Caenorhabditis elegans: one gene and its partner. The protein of the gene in region 1 interacts with the protein of each later gene in a pairwise test. Each region holds a gene or a part of one and is shown in the gene's direction. Other genes may lie near its edges.

Evidence for each region. Proteins that work in one complex are often made in the same cells at the same time.
Region 2: the proteins of sta-1 (region 1) and nex-1 interact in a two-hybrid assay, tested with the Caenorhabditis elegans proteins (one large-scale study listed by BioGRID).

What each region holds. Positions count from the first base shown.
Region 1 is NC_003282.8:16,662,192-16,665,946, forward strand, and holds the start of sta-1 (Signal transducer and activator of transcription 1), read left to right. Parts: upstream 1-2,128; 5' UTR 2,129-2,130; coding exon 2,131-2,439; intron 2,440-2,535; exon of another isoform or gene 2,536-2,556; intron 2,557-2,811; exon of another isoform or gene 2,812-2,832; intron 2,833-2,915; exon of another isoform or gene 2,916-2,936; intron 2,937-3,018; exon of another isoform or gene 3,019-3,035; coding exon 3,036-3,380; intron 3,381-3,393; exon of another isoform or gene 3,394-3,414; intron 3,415-3,576; exon of another isoform or gene 3,577-3,597; intron 3,598-3,755. UniProt on the Caenorhabditis elegans protein: Carries out a dual function: signal transduction and activation of transcription. Activated STAT proteins play a role in repression of dauer formation.
Region 2 is NC_003281.10:5,223,603-5,227,357, forward strand, and holds nex-1 (Annexin), read left to right. Parts: upstream 1-2,018; 5' UTR 2,019-2,021; coding exon 2,022-2,534; intron 2,535-2,587; coding exon 2,588-3,043; 3' UTR 3,044-3,202; downstream 3,203-3,755. Other genes in the region: C34E10.10 (rRNA-processing protein UTP23 homolog), read right to left, coding at 3,295-3,543, 3,593-3,755.

The sequences.
Region 1 (3,755 bases):
TCGATAGTGGTAAATCAATAACCCGATCAAAATATGCAAAACGAGTTTAAAATTTAATAACTTGTTGAAACAGTCAAAATTTCGCTAATTTAAAACGAGTAAAGATTCTGTATTAATTTAAAGCAAAAAAAAAAACAATTTGAAAATATTAAAAACCAGTTAGAAACAGTAAATTTTTTATTTCTCATGACCATGAAACATAAGCACATTTTCCAAGTTGGAATGCTCTGTAAAACGAAATAATTGATAGAAAAATTTCAATTTATATCTAACTGTAAATGACCCTTATTAGGATGTAATACAGAAGGATAATCGATAACAATTCATTTTCCATATTGAATATGAGTAACCTGAAACAGTAAACTTTTCATCCAACTTTCTGTAAATTTTGCTGTGCCTTTTGTGTTATTTCAATTAAAAATTGCCATTGATACTTGACTTATCTGAAACAAGATACATTTTTTCTAAAAATTTGAACTTGTAAGTCTTATAAGCTCTATTAATTACCTAGTTTGAACAAAAAACGAAACTTCAGCTCACTAACTAGTGAAATCGAACTTCGAAGTAATGTTTGACAATTTTTGCTTTCCGACAATAGCAGCATTAAACTTGAAAAAAATTTAAATATTGAGAAACATTATTCGATTCATATGTAAGCAATCTGAAACAATATATATGTTTTCTAAAATATTATACTACCTTCATTTTCAACACTGTATTACCCCATTTTATACATTCAGACAATATCAGTAATCTGAAACAGTATTGTTTTCTTCTCAAGTTTGAAATCTTTAAGGTTCCATATAGAAATAGCCCCAGTATAATTTTTTTTTCAATTTCTTTTTCCCGGTATATTCAGATTACTTGTCAGATTGTTATAAAATTTCCAGACTCTAAGCCAATTTTAAAACACGCAAAATTATTTCAGCTTGGCCGAAAAAAAATTAAAAAAAACTAAATTTTCGGTTTCAACACCACATTTTATAATCCTCAAAATGCTAGAACAGTAGTGAGAAATAATAATAGAACTTCATACACTCAGAATAAAAAACTGGAATAAATCTAGCAACGTATAAATAAAATGTTGGTATTTTTAAAGACAACTTGAAACAGTGGAAAAATGTTAAAATTTTCCAAAATTTCCGTCAAATCGTCGTTCACCCAAAATTTGAAAATTTTCCAGATTTTTCAAATTGTTTTCCAATAAAAAATATTTGAATAAAAACCACAAAAACATACATACTTTCGAACATTTTTAGAACATTTGAACAGTAATTTGTCGCGTCGAGACCCGATACAGTAATTTTCGCGCAAAATTTCACGGTTGGGTAATACAAGTAGAACCTTAAATGTTCATGTTCAGCTCATTTTATAATAACTTGAAAAAACCACTACTGTTTCAAAATTAATTTGAACGATTTTTTTTTTGAAAAAAAAAACATATTTTTCTCTAATCCCTCAATAATATCTCCATTTTTTTCCGTCCCCCCAATCATCACAGATATCAGCTGAGACAGGGGAAAAGTGGTGTGAAAACACACAAGTCTCTGCGTCTAGCGGTGTGTAACACTGTCTGCGTCTCTGTGCTCTCTTTGATACTCTCTCCCGTGTGTGTGTGTGCTCCTGGAGCTCTTATACATTTCCAAGTGTTTCTGCTCTCTGCATCTCTTGCCCATTTTCCGCTTTTTTGAGCCAACAACTTCTCATTAGTTTTTTCCTTCGAGTTCTTGTGCAGAGCCACGGCTCTTTCAACAACTCGCACAAATTGAAAGTTTTCGCAATTTTTTCTTGCATTGCACGTACATATTTTCTTTTTTTTTTTCATAATTATTGATGAAAATGAATATGTTTTGTCAAGCGAATATGCTACATTGAAAGTTTTCAGAAACAGTGAAAAATCAAATTGAAATTAACAAAATCTTTCAAAATTTAATCACTTATTTGAAACAGTAAAAAATTTTTTAAAGTATACGTCGATTCTGAAAATACACTGAAAATGAAATAAAATTCTTGAAACTGTAAAAAAATTTTTAACCAATTTTTTTTCACAAATTTTTCTTTGAAAACGTTTCCTTTTTATTACCTCCTTGTCTTCCCATTCCCTTCATTAAAAATCTGAAATTTCCAGACATGATGGGCTCATCGTCGCAAGAGCTTCAAACAGCTCTAACCGACGTCTCAAAGACCTGCCATCACTTGTGGGAAGAGAATAAGGACCTCCAAGGCAGATTTGTGAATGAACTCGGCGAGCTTCAACGTCTGCAAATGGTCATTGCACAGCTGGAACAGCAACAGAGACTAGAAAATGTATTCACTGTGAAACAGCAAATGACAGAGTTACAGAAAAGAGCAGCCACACTTTATGAGCATTTGACACAGAAAAGAAATGATATTGTCATTAAACTTAATGATGGCACCAATTTTGCGACGATGCTACAGGTTGGTTCTTCTAATGTGAAAAAATATGAAAAAAACATAAAAAAAATTTTACTGTTTCAAAGTTTTGTGAAATATGAATTAAAATTTTTTACTTTACTTGACTGTCGAAGACCATTTCCATTAAAAAACTCTAATACAAGATTTACTTTTTTGAAAAATCCTTCAAATTTTGAAGAATTTTGCATGTTCAGTAAATTCATGCTAAAAATATTTTTATTCTTTTAATGTTTCAAGTGAATGTTTTGTTTAAAAAAAGCATTAAGAAATCTTTTAATATGAAATTACATCAAAAATGAACTGAAATACAAAAATTAATTAAAAATTTAATGTTTCCCATGCATTTCATATATTGAACGCGCGAAAATGTCATACTTTAAAACTGGCCTGCAATCTAGCTCTCTTATCTGAAAAAAAGTTAGTTATAATATTTACAGTTTCACACTTTTATCAAATTTAATCTTTTTTTTCCTTTTACATTGATTTTGCATAAAATTTGACAATTTTTTTTAAAGAGAAATATTTTTAAAAAAATACTGTTTCACAGTTTAATCAAATTTTCTATGCGTTGCAATATTTTAATCAATCTTCATTTCCAGACCCAACTAATTGGCGAAAAGCTGTTCTCCTGGAAAAATGCCCAAAAACTTGCCCAAATCGGAATGCCTTTCGATAATCGCGAACAGCTGCTTGATGAAATTCAAATTGAATTCGAATTTCTCGCTGATCAAAACTGGCAGCTTAACATGTTCTCGTGTTGGATGCTCGACTTGCTCCGACGTGCTCCACAGTTAAATGATGGGCTCGCTCAGGCAACAATTGGAAAGTTGACTGCAATTACAGAACAATTGAACAAATTACTTTTTATGCTGGTTTCACAGAGTTTTATTGTTTCCGTTCAACCGGAACCTGTTTTGAAGACTCAACATAAATTTGTCACTGAGGTTTGTTTTTTAATGGAAATTATACATGTCAAATTTTGGTGGGTCCCGCCGCGAAAACCACACCGTCGTGACGAGACCCAACTTAGTTAGAATTCAAGCAAATTATAAGAAACAATAAAAAAAAATTCAAAAATTTTAATTAAAACTTTACCGTTTCAAAAGTCATTCAAATAAATATGTAAGTCATACTCAACAATTTTATTTAAGAAGTTCAATTCGAATATAATGTGTGCCACGCATTTGTTCAGCTTGAAAATTTCTGGGTCCCACCACAAAAACTACAGTTCCACCCCACCTAATTTTACGGGTTACTGTAGTTTCCGCTGTGGGACGCAGCAATTTCAGAATCCTGATTTTTCAATAAAATTACAAAAA
Region 2 (3,755 bases), on another chromosome or scaffold:
GCTACTACATCAAGACCAATCCGTTTCTTGAACTTTTTTATTCTCCTCTCCATTAATAAAATCCCATTTAATGTACAGTTATTAACTTCCTATACTTTTGAAAATACTCTCCAAATCCTTTTATTCCCTCAATACCAACCAAAAAAAAAGATTGGCCACAGTTATATACGCGGTCTTTTTCAATTTATGTTGACAAATTTGATCGTTGACCAATGGCCTTGTGAACCATTCAAATTCCACATAGTATACATCAACAAGAACATTTGCATATGCCACGGAAGTAATATATGGCTATTCCACATATTTTGATAAAACTCTCAGTTATCTAGAAAATGAAACGCCGCGAATAGAGTTATCTAAGCAACTCGTAGGAATGCTTAACAAAAAATTTAAAACGCTTCATCTAATTTCTCGGCATTTGGCGACTCATAAAATATTAACTCAGTTTAGAAGTTGACAAAACTAGGGCTAAACTTCGAAAATACTTGGAAAATACTTTAGGCCGTGCCAAAGTTTATCTCAAATTTCATCCAATTCTTGCCAAAACCTTACCCAAGTTCAAACCAACTCACTAGTCAAAAACAAATTCGTATCAAAGATTGGCCCGGCTTAAACTAAGTCTGGGCAAGGTATGGCGCAAGTTTATAAAAGGAACTTTTCCAATAAATCTTTGAAAAATCGTAGAAAATCCGTTTCGAGAAACTTTGGGCCAGTTTCAAAAAAGGTTGAACTGCCCGAAATTGTTCACGAAATTTCATTTCAGTCAACATTGAAGGGCAAGCTCTCAAAAACTTGACTTTAATTTGTTCATTTTTCTAATAACACAAAATTTCTTAGTCATGCTCTCCTCGTTTTTGCATTTCTTACCAAAAAAACTCTGTTTTTTTCATCACAAAAATTTCTAATTTTCACAATTTTTGTTTCTACCCATACACCATGAATCATCCTCTCTCTCTCTCTCTCCGTTACACATCAACTAGAACACTACACCGATCGTACAGGTCATTCAATGTGCGAACGGACACAAAAAATTGGTAGAAGATCGGTGCCTGTTGGTGTCCCTGAACCGGCAGGAAAAATGTTTGTTGGAGGGAAAACAACAAGGAAATCGATCCCTCATTTCGGGACTCCAGTTAAAAAACAAGAAATGATAGCATGAAATTTGAGAAACGAGAGAAGATGCTGGTTTTTTCGCTTCTAAATTAAAATTCACCCCCATAAACACTTTTGGTATGGACCTGAAGAGGTGTTACATTAGATCATTTATATGAATTCTAAATTTAGAATTTAGAACCTATATAACCTAATGAGTCATAACTTTCGCAATTTTCGTTTAATTTCAATTTTTTCAATTGCCTCAAAAAAAAGACAAAGAAGATCCAATATTATCTGTATTTCATCATCCGCCTATGTTTCTTCTCCACTGTTTTCTGTTGTTTTTGTTTTCTCTCTCAATCTCTATCTCTCCTATCGTTTGCGATGAATCACCCTCTTGGCTCCGCCCATTTTCTCCCCCAGCGGCGCTCTTCCTTTTAGTCGTCCCCAGATGCCCCTCTTTACCACTCAGTGAACAGTCATTTTTGTTTCAGTGTTGTCATTTCATTTTGCTTATCAGTTGACGGTTTTCTTGTCCAGAAATATGTTCATTTATTTCTCTCTGGCCAGGATTGGAACAAGTGCCTGGATTTTTCCATTTCAAAAAAGATTACAAACATCCTATATATAAGTAGATATTTTCACTTAACCCATAAACAAAAATTAATTATATAATTGTTTAAAACATTCTTGAAAAACATGGCGTAATTTGTGATGCACTACCCGCAAACACCGCAAGAATGCGTACCAACTGTATACAGTAGTAAACAAACTGTGTAAACAAATTTGTATTCGCCGAATTTTTTAAAAACAAAAAACTGAAAAATATAAATATTAGACGCCATCTCATTTATCCATTCATTTTCTTCCATTTTTCTGCTTCTTTCTTACTTTTAAAACCTAATAATTACACGTTTGTTTCCAGAATGACTTCCCCATACGCTACAATCGTCGACGCTAGAGAGTTCAATGCTCCGATGTTCGCTGAGAAGATCGACCGTGCTCTTCGTGCCGGAGAGAAGGACGCTGTTGTCAACGTCATCACCTCGATCTCCAACGCTCAGCGCCAGCAGCTCCGCGAGCCATACAAGCTCAAGTACGGAAAGGACATCATCCAGGCTCTTGACAAGAAGTTCTCTGGAGATCTCGAGAAGGCCATCTTCGCTCTCATGGAAACTCCATTGGATTATGATGTGAAGCAGCTTAAGGCTGCCATGAAGGGATTGGGAACTGACGAGGCTGTGCTCATCGAGATTTTGTGCTCCAGAACTGTTGATCAACTCCGCGCCATTCGTGTGACCTACGAGAAGGAGTATGGAAAGGCTTTGGAAGCTGACATCGCTGGAGATACTTCTGGAGAATTCCGTGATCTTTTGGTCAGCTTGGTCACTGGATCCAAAGACGGATCTCATGATACCAACGACGCTCAGGCCAAGGATGTAAGTTTTCTTTATTTTTTCACTGTGATCAATTATTCATTTTCTTATTTTAGGATGCTGTTCGCCTGTTCGCCGACGGAAAAGCCAAGCTTGCCAAGAAGGACGGAACACACTTCCTTCACATCCTCGCCACTCAAAATCAATACCAGCTCCGCAAGGTCTTCGCCTACTTCCAGGAACTCGCTGGTGGCTCTATCGAGAAAAGCATCGAGAAGGAGTTTTCCGGAGATCTCCAGAAATCCTACCTCACCATTGTCCGTGCCGCTTCCGACAAGCAGAAGTTCTTCGCTCAGCAGCTCCACGCTTCCATGAAAGGACTCGGAACTCGCGATAACGACTTGATCCGTGTCATCGTCACTCGTTCCGAAGTCGACTTGGAGCTCATCAAGGCCGAATTCCAAGAGCTCTACTCTAAGAGCTTGGCCGACACAGTGAAGGGAGACACTTCTGGAGCCTACCGTGACGCTCTGCTCTCCATCATCAATGGAAACCACGCTACTGCCCACTAGATGCTGAAATTGACAAACCCAAGCTTTACTTCATTAATTTCGTATTAAAATTCACTTTTCAACCCCTAAAATGTTACCTGCATTCCTCTCCTAATATGTACCAGACTGGATTGTATTTTTTATGTTCAAATGTCGCATTTTGTAATAAAAATCTTAAAAAAAAATCTGCGTTCACAAAATGAATTTTCATTCAACAGAAAAAAAATTAAAAATCAACAAAAACAAGTAAAAACGGAAGAGATCATTATGTTTTACTCTTCATCCATGGAGGATCCCTTCTTTTTTGTCCTTTTCCTCTTTCCTGAAGCAGTTCTCTCTCCAGTTCTGACGATATCCACAGACGCTTTCATAATTTTCTTCTTGCACGACAATGGATTGACTCCTTTTTTCTTTTTCTTCTTCTTCAATTCTTGTTGGCCGATCAGCGCATTTTTTAACTCCTTTAGCTTCTTGATTTCGGATTCTTCTTTAGAACAGCCAGCCTTTGTAGCTTCAGAAATCTGAAACGTAAAATGTTTTTTCCAGTACACTCAGTTTTTAAAAACTCACATTATCAAGTAGCACAGTCTTAAATTTGATGTACATAATCGGTGTTCCAACGATTGCTCTCAGCTTTTCAGTTAATTCATCGTCCTGGGTTGCAATCAAATATTTGGTTTTTCCACTTGCAGCTCGCCGAGCTAAATGAGCAAGACAGTCAGAAGCCGCTCGG